Linked DNA regions of Stegostoma tigrinum. The protein of the gene in region 1 purifies or fractionates together with the protein of each later gene. This does not show direct contact. Links are inferred from orthologs where the notes say so. Each region holds a gene or a part of one and is shown on either strand. Other genes may lie near its edges.

Region 1 (10,611 bases):
TGAATCCAATACAACAAGTCATTTGTATCTTTGAATCTATTTTGCAGGTTTCCCTGTCTCAAAAGGCAACATTCAATGGTAGCAAAAAGAGCACATGGTAGGGAGAAGATGGCAAAAATAATTAGAAGTAGTGTTTAACTAAGGAAATACCAGCAGTCTAGATACATTAGTAAACAAGAACAGAGAAAAAAGAAAATTAAATAATTAACTTGTCATGAGCATCCAGCATCCGTTGTTCACAAGGTTTCGTTTGATCAGCAAAGAGCATCCCACACAGACCCATCCCCCTACCCTTCCCCGTAACCCTGCATTGCCTATGGCTAATCCACCTAACGTACACACCCCTGGACACTACGGATAATTTACCATGGCCAATCTACCTAACCTGCACATCTTTGGACTGCGGTAGGAAACCAGAGCACCCAACGGAACCCCACACAGACATGGGGAGAACATGCAACCTCTGTACAGACAGTCGCCCGAGGGTGGTATCGAACCCATGTCCCTGGTGCTGCGAGGCAGCAGTGCTAACCACTTAGCCACTGTGTTGATTGCTTTTTTTTTTTAAGAAAGAGCATCCCACCCATCCCATCCTACCCTCTCCCTGTAACCCTGCATTCCCCACGGCTAACCCACTTGGCCTGCACATCTCTGGATACTTTGGGAAATTTACCACAGCCAATCCACCTAACCTGCACATGTTGGAACTGTGTGAGGAAACCAGAGTAAACCCATACTGACAAAAGGGTGAATATGAAAACTCCACATTTGCCCGAGGGCAGAATCAAACCGGGGACCCTGGTGCTGAGAGGATGCAGTGCTAGCCACTGAACCACCATGCCACCCAAATCCTTTTTCTATTTTCAATACCTTCACACAGTTTCAAGTTTGTTTTTGTGTCATAACGTTTATACACATGCTAAAAAACATTACAATCACAGTGTGATAAAAAGTGAACAGTGCAGATGCTGGAAATCTAACATCAAAACACTGAAAATACTTAGCTATATACAAAGAAAAGAGCATCCCCACAGAATGGGACTTCTTCAGAACATAACATACTATAATCGTAAATACCCTGATTCAAATCTCAGTAGCATCTTAACAGATGTGATATGCGATGTGATATGCGATAATAATCAACAATATAGCTCACAAAACCTCAGTCAAAGCTTAGGTACTATTACACAACTGTGGTTCATACCTGAAACTTAAAGACACCAGCATAAACATCTAAATACATTCAAGGCTCATTTTTAACTATTTCACTTGAAGTGAATATTATGAAGCATCCTTTACCAGATTGTTGTACATTGTAGTGATTTTATAAGTTAATACACCACATAAATGCCTGGTATAAAGGGTTAAAAGAGAAGCAAATATTAAGATGTAGATTCTGCACTGCATGAACGGGAAAGCAGTTCACAGTGAAACATGCAGAAGTATGCTTGTATATGACCAAAACTGGACAATACCCTCAATGCAGCTGATCAAAGCCTTATTTAGAGAAATGTTCATGTTTATCAATTTCTATATGAGCACATGATACATTTCCATACCCTGTCGATCCTGTGGCACTACCTATAGGTACAGAAGACATAGTAGATGCTGAGAAATGAGAGGTAGTATTGAGATGTTAATGGGATAACATCTCATTAATTTTTGTGCTCCTTGTCTTCTCACACAGGGGTATGTGGAAACTGTCCTAAACTTCCAGCCAAAATAGGATTGGGTGGCTAATGTTTGTAAAGGTATGATTTGTAATTCTGTAAAAGGGTGAAACTTCTGTAAAGGTATGAAACTTCTGTTTCTACTGAAGTGGACAGGTCAGTGACCTCTGTTCAAGCCAGACACTTTGGCGGCTTGAAATCGTTACCAGTCACTTCGTGAACAATCAATGCTGTATTCTGTTCGCTATATGTTCCAAATGTAGTAAATGTTTTTTGTATCAGCCAAAATAGAGTATAAAAAGCGGGGACTGTCCACTGTTCGGGGAGAATTGCTAACGGAACTCAGCACTCTGTGCCAGGTTGAGTACAGCGATCCTCCACAGCTTGTTCTTGTTTAATAATAAAGGATTGTGTTTTTGTAGCCAGGTCAGTGTCTTGCTATTGCATCAAGTTTGTGCGGGTCTCCGAAAAACGAACCTAACAGTATTAGAAGAACGAACAAAAGACAACGAAAGCTTAATAGTATAATTTATAAAGTGTTACCAGAATAGACAAACCTAGGAACATGTGTATATAGATATTTGGAGGCCAATGGGCAAGTTAACAAAGCAGGAGATGCAATCCTGGGCTTTAAGTAAAAGACAGAGTACAAAATTCACGGAATTATGCTAAACCTACATAAAACACTACCTTGATCTCGACTGGGAGTACTCTGTTTAATTTCACAAAGAACATGAAAACTTTGGGGAAAGAAAAATGTATTAAACGGCTCTAAAATGAGGAATTACATTTATGCAAATAGATTTGAGAAATTGGGGGTTTGAATGAGATATTTGGACACAGTGAATAAATGACTGAAGCATGAATAATCAGAGGTGACAGATAGAAGGCAGAAAAAGTGAGGAAAAGAACGTGGCAATCCAGAATTGACTAAAGGCATAACTAATAATTTATCACTCCTGAATGATAAATACGAACAGTAACAAAGTGTAATTGGCCTTTAATTTCATATGGTATTTGCACAGTATAATATATTTCAAACTTGATGCATCTTCTGGGAAAATGGCAAACTAAAAAAAAAACTGAATGTATGAGTGTTTCTTTGATCATTAAGTATTTTAACTAATTACGCTTCAGTAAGATGAGTAAAGACACTCACCGAATCCAGCATTTGTATTACAAGAATGTTAACCAGACTAAAAATCATTGGCCCAATTAAATTACATTGCCGTTACCGCTCATTCAGCAATTTCTACTGAACAATACTACATTTAACATCAAGGAATATTCATTATAATCACATTCTCAAACATGTCACCAAAACGGTCCATGCATGTTAATCATCTACAATTTGTGGCTGAGGAATATATTTAATGGCCTACTTGAGCTGATGTCCAGGTAAAAAGGGCAACATGCTAGTTTGCGATTATTAGAGTTATAGACTTAATGCAGGCTGTTCAGGCAGCATTTATCTAAACTGAGACAAGAAGATGAACCAGCATAGCCATTCCACCTAAACTGCACATTTTTCTACTGAGAAGGAAAGCAGAGCATCCAGAGGAAACCCCAAGCAGACATGTGTAAACTCCACATTAGACAGTCGCCCAAGGCTGGAACTTAACTAGGTCTCTGGCGCTGAGGCAGCAGCGGGTCACCGTGCCACACCAAATGGGAACAAAAGTGTGCAGTAGAAGCTGAATCAATATTTTATCTTAAATAAAGAGCTTCTGTTTTTCTTCTCCATCCACATATTAATACTGAGCAGGATCTTGTAAGACTTAATCACTACTGCAACCTGCTCTGGCATATTCAACAGTATCTAAACACCCCCAACACCTCCAAATACACTACAGGAGCCTATTACTGTTACTAAATGCCTCTATTATCTCATCAAAAACTCCATCCTGTTTTAAGCAGATGTGTGATTTGCAATCACCCAGTCTTCCGGTAGCATTTCTGTACATTAAAAGGTTATAGCCAGTACCTTCACAATTTGAATGCTTGTTTCTCTCAGTATTCTCAGATGCATCTCGTTGAAAGTAACATTTCTTTATCAATCTTTAGCCTCTCTAGCATCACAACTAATTACTCTCTCACTTGAACCATTTAAGTCAATACTCATTAGCATTTGAACAATCTGCATAACAGTTTAGCATTAATAACTAAACCTCTCCACAACTCAACTCCGAAAGTTTCCACTCCTGGTACAGTCAACATTGAACCCAAAAAGAAGCTATAGTTTTAATCTGGAGTGAAATCTTCTACCTCAACCTAATTGAAACAAAAACTTACTTTTGGATCAGAATTAACCGTGATTAGTCAGCAACAAGTCAAGTTCCTCAAATGAACAAAATTTGTGAATTGTTTTACGAAATGATCCAATCCTTCGTTGAAGCAAACTACGTTTCACTTCAAGCGTCCCAGTTCAGCATTCAGGGGAGGCTTCTCACCTATTAGAGGTCCATTCTCCGGGAGTGGTGGGGTTAACACTTGTGATGTTTTGATTGCGGCGACATTACGCTGTCAATGTAAAGATCCACAGATAATAGCGCTAAGGAAGTCTACCTGCCACACATTAAATTTATGTCAAAACCCAAATATAAACAAATGCCACAGAACTTAGGACACAAGAGGTAAGGCCCCAAAAACGTAAGGGTACAGCCTAAAGCTGTAGTCTTGACAGGTCCCATTGCGTCGCTACAAACATAATCGACACTGAGGCGTCAAATAGATTTAGCAATAGACAGACACAAAAAAACATACAAAATAAAGTTCGGGGGTGGGGGAGAGCGGAAACTGTAACACGTTACCTTTAGGTCATTTTCTGGAAGATATTTGCACTGCCGAGCTATCTCCACATACTTATCCAGGTCCAGAGGCGCCATTTTGAGACACGGACTGAGCAAGCCCCAGGCCAATGACGCGCTTCCGGTATCTAAAGCGCCGGCCGCTGGCTAAAGAAACCGGCTTCAAACCTTCACCTTACCCCGAAACGCGTTCGATCGTTAATGACCACTTTGTATTGTTTGAAGATTGACCCCATTCCCCAGGACACACCGAAACTCTTTGTTTAATCCCACAGTTTTTACGCACCGCCCTCTCCATTGGCCGGCTCGGTGGTAAAGTTGAAAGTTCAAGGGTTGTAGATTCCCTTTAGCAACACCCGAGAAAAAAATTGGGAAGAACGACAGGTATGAAGCATTTGAGGCATAGGCTTATATTGCTGTAATTATAGCGAGTAACAGATGCTCTAACGGTTAGTCATCGAAGTGCTGAAAATCAGTAAATGGAATTTGGAGGGAAGGGGAATTGGAAAGTGGCATCTTTCAGTGCTGGCCTTTAAATCGCTGGAGTGACACTAAATTTCACATCAAACTTCCCTGTTTGGAGAAGATCGGCGTTTGTTCAAATATTCTCAGAATGTTCCATTTAAATCAGAAGAACATGAAGAGGCTGCTGTAAAAGATTGTAAAACGGGGCACGTGTCCAATATTTAATTTGCTCCTCATTGTTTTATTTTAAAAAGCCCACGAGATTAAATCAATCGTGACTGCGTGCAAACTGATGACGAAAAGACAAAAAAAAGTAGCAGTGATTGTTCAGTTATGATACTGACTTAGCAAATCGGGGCATAATCACAATCTGTGCGCATGATAAGAACCTGGAGGCATTGATTGTGATCTCTGAGGAAGACAGTGTCGACCTTCAAGAGAACATGGACATGATGATAGAATTGGTAGATAAAGGGCAGAAAACCAGACAATACGAAATAAAAATTACAGTTCTAAAGGATGCACAGCGCAGAGAGATGTGAGTGTGCATAAAGCAGTGAAGGTAGGACAGTTTGAAAGAGTGGCTGTTAAAGTGCACAGTTTCTTAGGCTTTATAGTTAGGAAGGAAGAACCAAGCAGATTTTGTTAAACTTGCTTAAAAATGCACTGGCAATTACATTTCATCCAGCTGTATGCATTGCACTGTACAGAATCTGGAAAAGATTCACGAGAATAATCTCCAGGATGAGGAACTTCAATTGCTTAGAAAGATTAGTGCTGTCATTATGTTTTTTCTGGAAGGCAGAGAGGAGCTTTGTTAGATGCTTTCAAAAGTCATGAAGGATCAGGTCAGAATGGAGAAGGGAAAAACAGTGGCCATTTATGTGAAAGGTTGAAGAACAAAAGGACACAGCCTTTGAGAAATTGGCAAAAGAATCAATGGTGATATGCGGGGGAAAATGTTTTTGATCCCATTGAGTGGTCAGGATATGGAATGTACATTGAAGGCAGGTTTAATAAAGGCGTCTAAAGGAAGAATGTGCAGGATTACAGGGAGAATGCAAGAGAATGTCATGAGATAAATTGTTAATTTTGAGATCCACTACAACACAACAGTTTGAATGGTGTTTTGTGGAACTGAAGTGAAGAATACAGTAGTTATCACTCAACTGCTAATATGCATAGTCTAGGGATATCAGACTAAGACTTTTAGCATTTTTGATTTTTCATCTCCACCTCAAAAATTGGTAGGAAAGCTTGAATGAGAAAACAGATTCAGAATTGCAGACAGCCATTGACAGGTAGTTTACGATATTTACATGCACCAATCTAAGTCGTAATGCCAATGTCAGATTTTATAAAGATGTGGAGGTGGACAAAACCTGAAGTCACATGATACCAGGTATAGGCCAACAGGTTTGTTTAAAATCACAAGCCTTCAGAGTGCTGCTCCTTCATCAGGTGAAGGCTGATGAAATCTTCATCTGGCGAAGGAGCAATGCTCCAAAAGTTTATGATTTTCAATGAACTTGTTGGACTATAACCTGCTGCCATATGACTTCAGATGTTGTAAAAGTTGTAAATTACCTTATGGTCGCATTGAGACTATAATATGCTGTGCTATGGGTTGATTTCATTTACTATAATTAAATAAATGCAAGTAATTTTTATACATTAACATAACATAAAAGTTTAAATCTTCAATGTCTGACAGTTTTATTCCAGATTTTTCGAAAGGCTATGGAATTGCTGACTGTCTTGGAGCCAGGGGAAACACCCCAAATAGCAACATGGTAGGCTGTCAAAGCATGTGTATATTTAACCCGACACTATATTGACAGGAATTGTAACTGTAAAGTGATACCTTAACACAGAGATAATGTCCCTATTTTTTCTTTTGTTTTATTTATTCACATGGTCATCATTTATTTCCCATTCCTGTTGTAGTAGGTCTGTACCACATGTAGGCCAGACCAGCTAAGGATGGCAGTGAACCAGATGAGATTTTTTTTTCAACAATTGAGCCACTTCATGATCATCATTAGACTCCTATTTCCAGACTTCTATTGGATTCAAATTCCATGACTGCCATGAGGTAGTAGGAATTGCAGATGCTGGAGAATCTGTAATAACAAGATGTAGAGCTGGATGAACACAGCAGGCCAAGCAGCCTCATAGGAGCAGGAAAGTTCCTATGATGCTGGTTGGCCTGCAGTGTTCATCCAGCTCTACTCCATAACTGCCATGGTGGCAGTCAAACCGGTATACCTAGAAAATTACCTGGCTCTCTGGATTAACAGTTGAGTGATAGCACCACTAGGCGATTGTGTTCCTTTCTTTTGATGTTACAACTATACATGAATAACAAGTTGTGGAAAGACGATGTGTAAATCTGTACAGGACTGCTTGCCATGTCACTTAAAAAAGACACTAGGGAATGTGCAGAAATATTTACGGAAATTATAGCAGAAAACCTGTTTACACAGGAGTTCTGCATGGCTTATTGTTGGAACTGTTGCTGTTTGTGATGTAAGTTATAATTTGGACTTAAATGTAGGGGTATGATCAAGAATTTCATACATAGTGCCGAAGTTGGTATGGTGGGAAAGAGTGGCATAACTGCATGGAGTTTTCAAAGGACCAATCAGTTGGCGGGGCAATATAGGTTGGATTTTAACCTTGTAAAGCTAATGCACTTGGAGAGGGATTTCAAGGCAAGGGATTTTATAAATAGTTGGACTCCGAAAAGTAGTGAAGATCAGAGGAACCTTGGTGCATATCTTCAGATCCCTTAACATTGTAGGGCAAGGTAGGGTAAATAAGGTAGTTAAGAAGGCATATCAAATAACTTGCTTTTATTAGAGGCCAAGGATTTTATTCAAAGACCGAGGAAGTTATGCTAGAACTAGATAAATGCTTTTGAAGCCACAATTAGAATACTGAGGGCAGGTCTAGTTGCCAAAGTATTGGAAGAATATAACTGTATGAAGAGGGTGCGTGGAAATTTACCTGGATGCTTTTTGGGCTGGAGGTCTGAGCTGTACAGAAAGACTGCATAGGCTGGGATTGTTTTCCTCGAGGCAGCAAAAGGTGAGAAGGGGACGACCTGATGGAAATGTTTAAGATTGTGAAGGGCATAGATAGGGTGGATAGGAATGCATTTTTTCCTTTAGTTGAGGAGCCATTAACCAATGGGTGTAGATTTAATGCAAGAGGTAGAAAGCTAACAGGACAGTTGAGTTTTTTTTCCACTAAGAGGGTGGGGGGAGTCTGGGAGTCATTATCTAAGTCAGAAACTTTTGTAACATTTAAACAGTATTTAGCTATTACAGGCAGTCACCAAATTGTGAATGGGCTCCATTCTTGAATCCATTCACTAGTCAATTTTTACACAAGTGAGTAAGTGAAGCTTGATAATATAAAACAGCCTTTCTTATGTACAAGGCCAAATGTTGGATCTTTAAAATTAATATTCATACACCTCGTATGGGATTGCGTTTGTAAGTACGAACATTTGTGCATCGGATGTTGATAAATTGGCGATCCCCTGTGATTTACATTGCCATATCCTCCATGACTATGGGCCAAGAACTGGAAAATGTTATTCATGCTGTCCAATCTTTGACTGGTGCGGACACAATGGGCTGAATAACCTCTCTTCTGTAAATGTCCAAGGAAAGACTTGGTGTCTTTTCACTTGAAAAGAGAAGACTGAAGTCTGACCTAATAGAAGTACTAAATTGGGGGAAAGCTAACTACAGCAATATTAGGTAGGAACTGAGGAATGTAGAAAGGACGTAACAATTTGAGGAAATCTTTTAAATACTAATTGATTCAGGACCAGCATGCTCCTGTGAAAGTGAAGGATAGGGATAGCAAGATTTGGCAACCTTAGGTGACAAGAAATTGTGAATTTAGAAAGAAAAAGGAAGCATAGGTAAAGCTTAGGAAAATGAGGACAGACAGAGGCCTTGAGGAATATATAGAAAGCAGGAAAGAACATGAACAAGGAGCTGGGGTAACAATCTTAGCAAATGGGATTAAAGAAAAGGCTTTTTATACTTCTCTAAAGAGCAAGATGGTAGATGGGGAAAATGTAGATCCACTCAAGGACAAAAAGGGAATTTAGGCATGGATCTGGAAGATGCGGGTGAGGTCCTTGCATTGGCAATCAAAGTGGAGAAGGACATGGTGGATTCGGAGTCTAGAGAGTGGTATATTTGATATTTTAGAACATGTTAATATAAACATTTAGAAGGTGTCGGGTGTTTTGAAAAGCATTAAGGTAAACGAGTTCCCAGGACCTGATAAGAGCTATCTATTTCACAAGGAAGAGGTATTAGAAATCCTACAGAGTGTGAAGATAGATAAGTCCCTTGGGCCAGATGGCATTTATCCTAGGATCCTCTGGGAAGCCAGGGAGGAGATTGCCGAACCTTTGGCATTGATCTTTAACTCGTCATTGTCTACAGGAATAGCGCCAGATGACTGGAAGATAGCAAATGTGGTTCTCCTGTTCAAGAAGGGGAGTAGAGACAACCCTGGTAATTATAGATCATTGAACCTTACTTCAGTTGTTGGTAAAGTGTTGGAAAAGGTTATAAGAGGTAGGATTTATAATCATCTAGAAAAGAATAAATGATGTGGTGTATATGGATTTCAGCAAGGCGTTAGATAAGGTTCCCCACAGTAGGCTATTGTACAAAGTGCGGAGGAATGGGATTGTGGGAGATATAGCAGTTTGGATCAGAAATTGGCTTGCTGAAAGAAGACAGATGGTGGTGGTTGATGGGAAATGTTCATCCTGGAGACCAGTTACTAGTGGTGTACCGCAAGGGTTGGTGTTGGGTCCACTGCTGTTTGTCATTTTTATAAATGACCTGAATGAGGACGTAGAAGGATGGGTCAGTAAATTTGCAGACGATACCAAGGTTGGTGGAGTTGTGGATAGTGAAGAAGGATGTTGTAGGTTTCAGAGAGACATAGATAAGCTGCAGAGCTGGGCTGAGAGGTGGCAAACGGAGTTTAATGCGGACAAGTGTGAGGTGATGCACTTTGGTAGGAGTAACCGGAAGGCAAAGTACAGGGCTAATGGTAAGATTCTTGACAGTGTAGATAAACAGAGAGATCTCGGTCTCCATGTACACAGATCCTTGTAAGTTGCCACCCAGGTTGACAGGGTTGTTCAGAAAGCATACAGTGTTTTAGCTTTTATTAATAAGGGATCGAGTTCCGGAACCATGAGGTTATGCTGCAGCTGTACAAAACTCTGGTGCGGCTGCACTTGGAGTATTGCGTACAGTTCTGGTCACCGCATTATAAGAAGGATGTGGAAGCTTTGGAAAGGGTGCAGAGGAGAGTTACTAGATGTTGCCTGGTATGGAGGGAAGGCCTTACGAGGAAAGGCAGACGGATTTGAGGCTGTTTTCATTAGGGAGAAGAAGGTTGAGAGGTGACTTAATTGAGACATATAAAATAATCAGAGGGTTAGATAGGGTGGATAGGGAGAGCCTTTTTCCTAGGATGGTGACAGCGAGCACGAGGGGGCATAGCTTTAAATTGAGAGGTGAAAGATATAGGAGAGATGTCAGAGGTAGTTTCTTTACTCAGAGAGTAGTAAGCGAATGGAACGTTCTGCCTGCAATGGTAGTAGATTCGCCAACTTTAAG
Region 2 (10,867 bases), on another chromosome or scaffold:
ATTTTAAGGCTGTGCCCCCACGGGTCCTAGTCTCCCCGCCTAACGGAAACAACTTCCTAGTGTCCACCCCTTCTAAACCATACATTATCTTGTAAGTTTCTATTAGATCTCCCCTCAACCTTCTTACCTCTAACGAGTACAATCCCAGGATCCTTAGCCGTTCATCATACGTTAAACCTACCATTCCAGGGATCATCGTGTGAATCTCCGCTGGACACGCTCCAGGGCTAGTATGTCCTTCCTGAGGTGTGGGGCCCAAAATTGGACACAGTATTCTAAATGGGGCCTAACTAGAGCTTTATAAAGCCTCAGAAGCACATCGCTGCTTTTATATTCCAACCCTCTTGAGATAAATGACAACATTACATTCACTTTCTTAATTACAGACTCTACCTGCAAGTTAACCTTTAGAGAATCCTGGACCAACACTCCCAGATCCCTTTGTACTTCTGCTTTGCAAATTTTCTCACCATTTAGAAAATAGTCCCTGCCTGTATTCTTTTTTCCAAAGTGCAAAACCTCACATTTACTCACATTGAATTTCATCAGCCATTTCCTGGACCACACTCTTAAACTGTCTAAATCTTTCTGTAGCTTCCCTACCTCTTCAGTACAACCTGCCTGTCCACCTATCTTTGTTAGTTTTCATAAAGCATTGAAATGTATTTGCTGGGTCTTGTCTGACCCTAGCTCCTCTCACTACATCGATCTGAAGAGAAAGCCAGAAAGGGTTCCTTTCTCAGATCCATTGTTAAACTAGGAGATAGATCCTGAGAACGCTCTCGAGTCCGATTTGAGTACTGAGCAAAGGTTTCCAGCAGGGAACTTTCCCAACTGTTAAGTAGAGCAGGCTAAAGTCAAAAACCTTCAGAAGAGAGTGAAATCTCAGAAATTCAGATATTTGACCAATTCTAACCTCTACACGACTAGGCAGGATCAAAACTGTTCAGAAAAAGGTTGTAGTATCATAGAGGACATTAACACGGAAAACAAAAGGTCGGCGGCTAATATGTCCAAAAACCAACACAACCCAACTCACAGCTGAATTTAGCAGTTCATAGTGTGCCAAGTCAAAAGAAAATATCATAAAATTATTAAGACCACTCTTGTAGTTGATGCCATATCTGTTGCACTGTTATGGTTACTGTTGTAACTGCTCATTTTCCTTCAAAACATAAAATAAAATTTAGCACTAAATGTTCAAACTCAAATTATGGATTGGCCTGATTGAAACAGCCCTTCATTCTAAACAGGCTAAAGCTGACTGGGGAAAGGGTAAAAGTTTCAATATTACAAAAGGTGAAAATTATTATCTCTATAAACAAACTGTTTAGAACACTTGTTTAATATGGACATCCTTTAACGGTTTGTCTTTCCTATGTCAATATTTGATTATCTGCGTTTAATGCCAACTTATATGGAGTCATAGAGTTATCACAGCTTTCACCTGCTCTTAGCGAAAGCAGGAAACAAAGGTAGACTCTGACTTTAAATTAATTCATGGGATGAGGGGGAATACATGAACATAAGTATTTGAAAAATCTTTAATCTCCCAAAAATAATTACAAAGGAGTTCTTAGATAATAAAATGTGAGGCTGGATGAACACAGCAGGCCAAGCAGCATCTCAGGAGCACAAAAGCTGACGTTTCGGGCCTAGACCCTTCATCAGAGAGCAAGGAGTTCTTGTCTAGATTGAGAAAAATATGTAAATATGTAATTCACAGAAAATTTGCTTAATAAGATGTCAGATTTGTCAACAGTGTGTTTGTAATATTTTACTTAATTCAACAATCAGGAACAATTGCTGAAGTAATTGGAATGTTTGGTCCCGCTTGAAAGATTTATTTTCATGCTAATCACCGACATTATGAGTTAATACTTCGAACGGTACATTTAAATAGAATCCTTTCAGCATTTTCATGGGCTCAAGTAAAACTGACTTATCAACGAGGGGTCAAAACGATATCTGGCATGACTCGTATTCTTCCTCAGAGAATAAATAAATGTCTGCTGTAGAGAATTTGGATCTAAGTCTGTTTCAATTTAGTAAGAATCAAAAAGTCTATGTTCAAAACATTAGACACCACAAAACTTGTTGTATGTAAAGCACAGAAAATTTAAATAGGAAATATTATATTTTATAATAGATACCAGCAGATGGATGTATAAAAATCTGTTCTGTTCTGAACGTCCATTGGTCTGTATATATGAAGTTGAAGACATACAAACAGAGTACTCCCAAACATTATAAAACACTTTTTGCAGCTTAATAGAGGTCACAAAAATGGTAACTGCCATAACTACTGTTGGTGTTTCTAGAATCATATTTAAATCTCCTCCCAACCACTTCTATGTAAAAATTGGGAACAAGAGAAAAAATATGCAAACGTTCAAATTTATCAAAGATCAAGGATGGAACTTAAACATTTGACTCCTGCTTTTAAAAACTGGTCTCCAGGTGACCGGTTTGGAATTTTGCTAAGTATCGCTGCAACAAATAGCAAATATCCAACTTAAAGTCTTTTTAAACAAGTAATTTCATCGAGGATATTTGGCATATTTTTCAATAGGAGGCACAGGTATTCCTTTAGCAAGCCACAGGAAGTCCTTGAGAGCATCCTGATGAGACTCAGTAACCAAATTCCTCATCTGCTTATATATACAAAAGGGAAGTGAAAGCAAGATTGAGGAAACCGGTTTTGATACACTAAATGGTTTAATCAACATGAACAATCAGCTACACTGGTTAGCAAACCAAGCTAGCCTACTAAACCATTAGAATGTATGGAAATATGTAAACTAAAAAGGAAAAGAAATTCCAGATACGGATGCATAATGTCATAAGAGCCATATGTCCTGAATTAGAATTTCTGACGTATTATAACAGGTATTCATCCTGAAAATTTCATTAATTTTGTTCATCAATAGATACATCAAGTAACACTAGGTAGAACTGAGACAAGAGTACTGATGATCTCTTTTAGCTTTTCAAGTCACTTCTGTAGCAACTGAAAACCGACAGGCTTTGAACAGTTTAGTGATGCACAAGGACACCTGTTGGGTGGGGGAGTTGGTGGACGTGGTGGTGATGGCGGTGGTTTGAGGGGATGGTCGCAGGCAAACAATTAAATTACACGTACCTGGACATTAACATCCTCCTTTTTGAAAATGAGACTGCGGACTTCATCAGGATCTCCATTAAAAATAGCTTGAACCAGTGGCGGCTGCAACATTGAAAGAAACTTAAGATTATACAAATATAAAAATATTTATATGACTGTGACATCACTAATTGACAAATATGGACCACATATATCACATAACTGTATGTAGGGTCCCAAACACTCAAATATCAGTGGGAAATGGAATAAGCAGTATGAATTTTCTCTAAGTGTGGTCTATATTCCTAGAAACTGTTGATACACAATTCAATTCAAAATGTCAATACATGCAACTTTCTCAGCTTATGTCAAACAAATGCCAAAAACCAAACTTTAAGATGCAAATGTTTGGACTCTGCATATTTTTTTTTCATATTACAAATTTATATTAAGAAAGCAGATAAAACCTGGATTTGCACATCTTATCAGTGTGAAGCTGATGCAATACTTTTGCAGGTATGATTAGACAAGCTGAGATATGCTCACCCTTCCATCTTCAGGTGGAAGTGACTTTGATGCATCCTCGTACTTTTCCTGAAGCTTTTTAGAAGTAATAACAGGAGAATCATCGTCCACCTCCTCCAGTACAACAATACACACTCGGCTCATCCGATCCCCTGTTTCCACACTACTTTCGTAATCTTTGATTCACAAACAACACTTGCACGTTTTGATGGAAAATAACAATCCTATTGTCACTGAGAACAAGTGACTATGCTAGAGATTTATGCCAGTTTTATCCATATGGTTTACATAAGTAGTTCCGGAGTAAACTCAGCGCTATTGCCAACACACACACTGATACTGCTGAGCTGGTTCCTTATTTGACAGAGTAGCCTCTATGCAGCGTAGCTGTTGTTATGGGTGACATGACACCATTCCTTAAATAGAAAAGCAGGCAAATCATGTAGTTTAGATTTTCAAATGATTTACAGAGAGAGAAACTGAGCATTTTCCATATCAGAAGGCTTCAAGACTTCTTTTCCCAATCAACAGATTTTCGTCAGGCTGAAGCAGTATCCAGGAGAAAGTACAAAACAATTTCAAATGAAAATTCATTTAATTAACTCCACTGCAGTGTAATTAAACACAGGCCAGATGAGAGTGAGAGCACAACAGAGAGAAAGAGGAAAAGGACAGAAAGAAACCATGAACAGAAAATAAACAGGATAGCCCATACAACAAGGTGGGCTATACAAGTGTGACCCAGAAACAAAATACATCTATTACTCCATTGGCGATTGTGCTGTGCCGAGCAGTCACTTTTCTCCAGCAGCTAGTCACTGCAGAAACTCCGACAGGCAATTCAATGAGCTGGAAACATGTAGGCCAGTTCACTTCAACAAATAAGAAACTGGAATTATCCTGAAAAATCTTGAATACAGAAATCCAAGGCAGCAGTCACTGAATTTCCTTCAGATAACTGACGCAAGTACAGGAGCTTCAATCTTCAATACTGTGACTGTAATAAAAAAGCCGCCGTCTGTGGTATTTTCCCATGTGCTTGAAGTCAAGCTTCTGTCAGTCTGCCAATTCAAGTTGACAATCCAGAACTGCTAGTTTCCTGCTTTAGGGATCAATTATTGTTTCACCGAATCCAATCCATAACCTAAAAAGCAGTCAGCAGATATCCAAAGCATAGCCACCATTTCAGCTTTATATATGCTGAATGCAGACAGAGCAGCAGAATTCTGGTAGCTTCTTCTAGCGTGCTGCTTTCTGGCTGCCCTTGCAATTTCAACTGCATGCCAGAGATGTGAATAAATTACTTGTCTGACGTTAAGGCAGCTTTATTGCAGAATAGCTGCAAGTTAACAGTTTCCATTCAAAGCTGCAAGGGAAAATGGTTTGTTGGCTTTGCTGACTCACTACGACAGGGAGGGTACAACATTATGAGTAATCCTTTATCTGTTTCACTTTTTTAAAAAGGCAATTAACAGTACTTCTTCCGTACAGTTCCCAGAGGTCTAAGAATGCACAAACATGGATAACTTCAAAACGGTTAACATTTCTTAAATCATTGCTCAAATGTCAGAAACTCTCAATGTACTCATAAAACTATGGCTGCTGGTGAAAACTGGCAAATAAAATTTAATTTCCTACAGATATTTGGCATGTAGTACTTTGGGCAACTGTCTAACAAATTCTACTTACAGAGGTCCCCAACATTTTTTAAAGTGGGTAATGAACAGACAATTGATTCAGTAATATGATTCTTTTGGGGGGGAAAGAGGGCCGTGAAAAACCTGTAAACACTTTACAGAAAAAAATGTGGTCTTGAACTTCACCCCAGTTTTGCTACTAAATACCTGGGAAAACCAATTTTTAAGCATGCAACCTGCAAATATTACAGTACAGCAAACATAAGACACTGTGGGATAGATTTTAATTCAAATTAAATCTCTTGTATCAGAATGATTGAATAGATGATGACAAAGTTTTACATGATATTTCTTTCTCATTATAGATGAAATAAGAAAAATGGGTGTACCTGCCCCAAATTTTCTATGCTTTTTGCTTTAGTAGTCAAGGGAGTAGGCCATCATGGCATTAGAAAGTTCTATCAGCTTATCTTACCCTGAAAGCTAACTTTCCTCTTAACAAGTGGAAATATAGACATGATAAATCAAACATTAATCTCACCAAACTATATCAGTTGCTATGCTAAATGCCACATTAGATTTTATACTTGGTTCAATTAATTTTCAATTTTATTTTTAAAAAAAATCTCAGCTTCAATATCCAAGTCTGATTAATTCCAATCCCCATTCGTTGGAGCTAATCCAATTCAGTCGGCAAGTTGGAATGTCCCTACAATGCCAGAAATGTCCTGCCTCTCATTAATTTAAAAAAATTACAATACTATCTTAATTATAGGTAGGTATGCTTTTCTAGTCTCAAAATTTACAAAAAAAGCATGAATCGTGTCACCTATTGGTGCTGTCAAGAAATCGTTCAACACAACTGCATCTTTACCAGCTTTGGATATCTCCCAAGATGGGTGCTCGAAATTTTTATCATTAGTTAAGATCACGGTAGTAGCCACTGGTGTAACAACACTGGCTTCACAAAATGGTAATTGAAATTAGAAAACATTATTTGCATACTTCCCAATAAAACTCCAAATATCCTTAGAGAGATTTTCAACCTTAAGGACCCTGACATAAACATGTAAATATATGAAAATTCAAAGGCCAAACATCCATAAAGCAAGCAAGATTTTGGGCTACGTACCATTAGAATTTTAGCTGAAGGGACAGAAACAAAACATTTATCGCATAGATGGTATAAATTATATTTTCTCCTAAGCTCTTACGTTCAAAACAACCACAGTTGATCTGATCTTTCCTCAAACAAAATTCACCAATCTATGCAACAACTTTGTAAATTTCTTCAGTACCCTCTGCAGTACAATCACATTTCTCTTGCAACACAGTTACCAAAACTGCATTTGGTACCGCAGATGAGAGGAATTACATATAGTTTCAGATTAACTTCCTTGACATTACATTTGTGCCTCAGCTATTAAAGTAAGTTTCCCTTACTGTTGCTTAAACAACTTATCTTCCTGTCCTGACACCTTGGACTCCAAGGTTCCACTTCTGTTAATCTGCAATTCAGTACACTCCCTTTTACGACATAATCTCTTGCTTTGCTTCCACCTCAAATACATCAGGCTTGCTCTTTTCCTTGACGGAAATCGACTGAGTTATATATTGAATTAGTTTTGGGTTCACTTTTTAAAATCCATTAGATTCAAATAATCCTTCATATTGTTTAGGAATTTATTAAGTGTAGTAGTTGGGATGTCGTGTTGTGGCTGTACAGGATATTGGTGAGGCCACCTTTTGAATGCCAAATTCAGTTCTGGGCTCCCTGCTACAGGTAAGATGTTGTTAAACTTGAAAGGGTGCAGAAAAGATTTACAAGGATGATGCTGGGACTGGAGGGTTTGGGCTATAGAGCGAGGCTGAACAGGCTGGGGCCTTTTTCCCTGCAATGTCAGAGGCTGAGTGGAGACATTCTAGGGGTTTATAAAATCATGAGGGGCATCAACAGGGTGAAAAGTCAAGGTCTTTGTGGGGGGGGGGGGGTCCAAAACTAGAGGGCATAGGTTTAAGAAGAGAGGGAAAAAAATTAGAAAGGGCTGGTGGGTGGTGTATGGATCGCGTGTATGGAACGAGCTGCCAGAGGATGTGCTGGAGGTAGTACAATCACGACATTTAAAAGACATCTGGGGGTACATGAATAGGGATGATCTGGCAAATAGGACTACATCTGTTAAGGATGCTCGGTTGGCGCAGTCAAATTAGACCACACAGTCTGTCTCCATGCTATATGACTATGTAAACATACCTACTGCTCAATCGAATGGCCGCACAAAATATCAACAGTTGATTCAAATTCAAATCAATCTCTCCTTAAATAATATGATGTCCGAGTAGTCAGGTGAGGGTGAGAGTGAGAAGGTGCCTTGCTAATAAGTTTTATTTAAGGCAAAATTGAATTATTTAAGTGATTTACGCTGTAAATAAAATATAACAGTGATGTGTATACCCCCTGCATTATGTTTCCAGTACTTAGTTTGTATTTTTACATAGATAATCAAGAGGTCCTTGTAATCAAAAATATTTGGTCAACCGGCACACTCTTGGTCCCATAGGCGCTGGTTAATAAAACGTTTGCAGTACTTTGGATTGGTAAGGGTGTCAAGGGTTACTGGCTGCAGAAAGAAAAGTAGTATTGAGATGATAATCAGCTCAGCTATGTTCTTGCCAAATGGCAGAGCAGACTCAAAAGACTTAAGACTGCTTGAATTCATTACACAGAACGCTTGCAAAGATTGCAAGCACTTATCCTGGGCTGTACTTCAACAAGTTCTCAGATGCAAAACTTCACATAGACAAAAAAAATTAGCAATCACACAGTGAGAAGACCATCACGACTGGCTTAGTTAAGGGGGCAGGTGGCTAAGAACAGAAGTGGAAATACGGACAATTATTCATTTTGATTAATTTCACAAAGTGACAAAAGTACCAGACATCAGCTTCCTATTCCAAATCCATAGATTTTACATCCACAATGACTTACACTGCTTGAAAAGATGATAATACCAAGCCCATTTTCATTACACCAAAAAGGGATTTCAATTTGGTAGAACTATTAGACGCTTTAAGTACTGATTTGTTTCCAATCAATTAGATTATAACTTTGAAACTATATAGTACAAATGCCAAGTTTCTAAGCTTCTACTATATTGATGTATCTGCACAAATTTCTAAAATACATGCAGCCAATGGTAAACTTCAGTGTAAGTCTGTTATACTAAAGCAATCTGGAAGAGCTTATAAATCAAGTCTTCAATGCTCCCTCCATTACAGCACTGTGGGGTGCACTGACACTGCATAGGGTGCAGTGGTTCAAGAAGGTAGTTCAGCTCCATATCCTCAAGGCAATTAGAGATTAGCAATATGTGCTGGCCTAACCAGTGGCGCCCACATTCCGAGAATAAATACCAAAAAAAAATTGTAAATTCTGTACAACATGAGACACATACAAGGCTATTGCAATTTTAGCCATTGACAACATTTTGTCAAATTGTACATTAGGAAAACAGTTAAACTTCCCAGCTGCATGATTCACTTTCTGTTAAATGTTACCCATACATGTATTTTGAATGAGTCAGAGTTTCAAAACCAAATTACCTCCATAATAGATTACATTTTATCTTGCAAAAATAAATAAGGAATCCCAATCCCAGACAAGCTGAGTTTACAATTTCCAAATTTCAACTTCAGCCAAAAATGCACTGCCTCAATAAGTAATTTGATAAATATATCTACATCCTTCACAAATTTATTAGTTTCTGAGAATGAAGTCTATGATAGGTGTGACTTCGATGACTAGGAAATCCCCATAACTGATTATCTCAGCTATGAAACACACAAAATATTTTGAGAGTTTCCAAACCTCAAAGAACTGGAATTTAGCAGTTTAAAAAAAAAACAGAATGTGTTGCTCTAACAAACCTTTAAGCCATATTCATCCTGGCAATCTAATAACGACAAATTTCAGGTTGAATGAACAAGACAGCTCCGTAACCACCGGTCAGAAGATTTGCTTCATGATGCTGTGGAGATAGCGGCATATAGTACACTGCAGTAAAATCAGCTTTGCAATAAGAAATCATTTCAGCCAATTTTCAAGCAGACTTTCATTGGGCTTTTACAAATTGCCATGCTATTTGCATCTGATCATGATACAAAGAAAACATATATGTCAGTATCACACTTATTTGTAAAGTTGCTGGTAGAAATGTGAAAAATAATGTAGTATCACTAAATGCCTCAAATCTGAGGTTAGTTAATGGGACATAGATACCAAAACAATCTGGGCTTCAGCTAATTCTATACTGGTACAAGTGGGATTTTGGACTATCACTTTTCAAAACACAAGTTTCATAAACTGAAAATATAAATCATGCTTGTGATATTTATTTGTGGAGTGTGGACATCACTGGCATTTATTAATCATTCTAACTACACTCAAAATCAATGGTTTGTCAGGCTATTTCTAAGAGTCTTCAACAGCTTGTCACATTACTGTAGATGTGGAGTCAATAAATGTGGAGCTGGAAAAGCACAGTTGGTCAGACAGCATCTGAGCAGCAGACCAGTTAAGGATTGCATATTTTCTTCCCTAAATAGCATTGAGGAACCTAATGTTTATTTCCAACAATGATAGTTTCATAGGTATTTTCTAATCAACCTTTACGGAGGCATTTTACACACCTCTGATGCAGGTGAGACTAGAACCTGAGCCTCTCAGCTCAGAGGTAGGAACACTGCCACTGCCCATAAGAGCCCGAGTTTCATCGACACCATTACTGAGACTACCTTTCAGTTCCAGAGCCTAATAAATGAAGTAAATTACATTAAATGAACCGAGTCTGTCCTAAGCAATAACTAAATCGTTAAATTTGTCTGCACGCTCAAAAACATCTCACACCTACTTTGCCTAATCTATTCTCATTTTAGTTGTTCCTGGGATGCTGGAAATGCCAGGGAGGCTTCAATTACTGCTCACCCAAACTTGCTTTGAGTTAGCAATCATCCAGAGTCCATGTAATTGGAGGCAATCTATACCAGACCAGGCTGATGTGATAGATTCAACTGTATTCAACCAGTTTTTTTTTTAAAAAGATAATCCTTCTGAAGAAGGGTCTCGACCCGAAACGTCAGCTTTCCTGTCCTCTGATGCTGCTTCGCCTGCTGTGTTCATCCAGCTCTACACTGTGTTATCCCAACAACTTTCACTGTTATTTTGCTGGTGTTAACCTACAAATTATAGAATTAATTGAATTTAATTTTACATTTTTCTCAGGTGGGATCTGAATTCAACCTCTAGATATTAGAGGAGTATAATTATTAGACTACAACACTCATCGGTTTGTAAAGAGAGATATAAAGAGAAACTGGGTCACAGGATAGGAGAAAAAGCCTCTTGAGACAGAAGGGTCACAAGGGTAATTAGGTTTATTAAAAAAGGCTATAATAGCTTTTGTTGATGGAAATTGGCTTGAAATGTTGGAAAAACTTGTTGACAGATACGACAATGAAAAGATGAGGAGAGATGTGCCATTTTTGAAACAATACCAGTCATGATAAGTTATGTCAATTGCACTCATAACAAAGAAAAACAGAT

The links. The genes of interacting proteins can lie anywhere in the genome.
Region 2: the proteins of ppp6c (region 1) and ankrd28b purify together in Homo sapiens (affinity purification with mass spectrometry; 9 studies listed by BioGRID and IntAct, with this or other methods). This does not show direct contact. The link is inferred for Stegostoma tigrinum from reciprocal best matches to the Homo sapiens genes PPP6C and ANKRD28.

The regions. Positions count from the first base shown.
Region 1 is NC_081382.1:26,602,664-26,613,274, forward strand, and holds the start of ppp6c (serine/threonine-protein phosphatase 6 catalytic subunit), read right to left. Parts: upstream 4,617-10,611; 5' UTR 4,556-4,616; coding exon 4,481-4,555; intron 1-4,480. Other genes in the region: rabepk (rab9 effector protein with kelch motifs), read left to right, coding at 6,683-6,735.
Region 2 is NC_081355.1:102,765,284-102,776,150, forward strand, and holds the start of ankrd28b (serine/threonine-protein phosphatase 6 regulatory ankyrin repeat subunit A), read right to left. Parts: upstream 4,989-10,867; 5' UTR 3,773-4,988; coding exon 3,650-3,772; intron 3,227-3,649; coding exon 3,143-3,226; intron 1-3,142. UniProt on the Homo sapiens protein: Regulatory subunit of protein phosphatase 6 (PP6) that may be involved in the recognition of phosphoprotein substrates. Involved in the PP6-mediated dephosphorylation of NFKBIE opposing its degradation in response to TNF-alpha.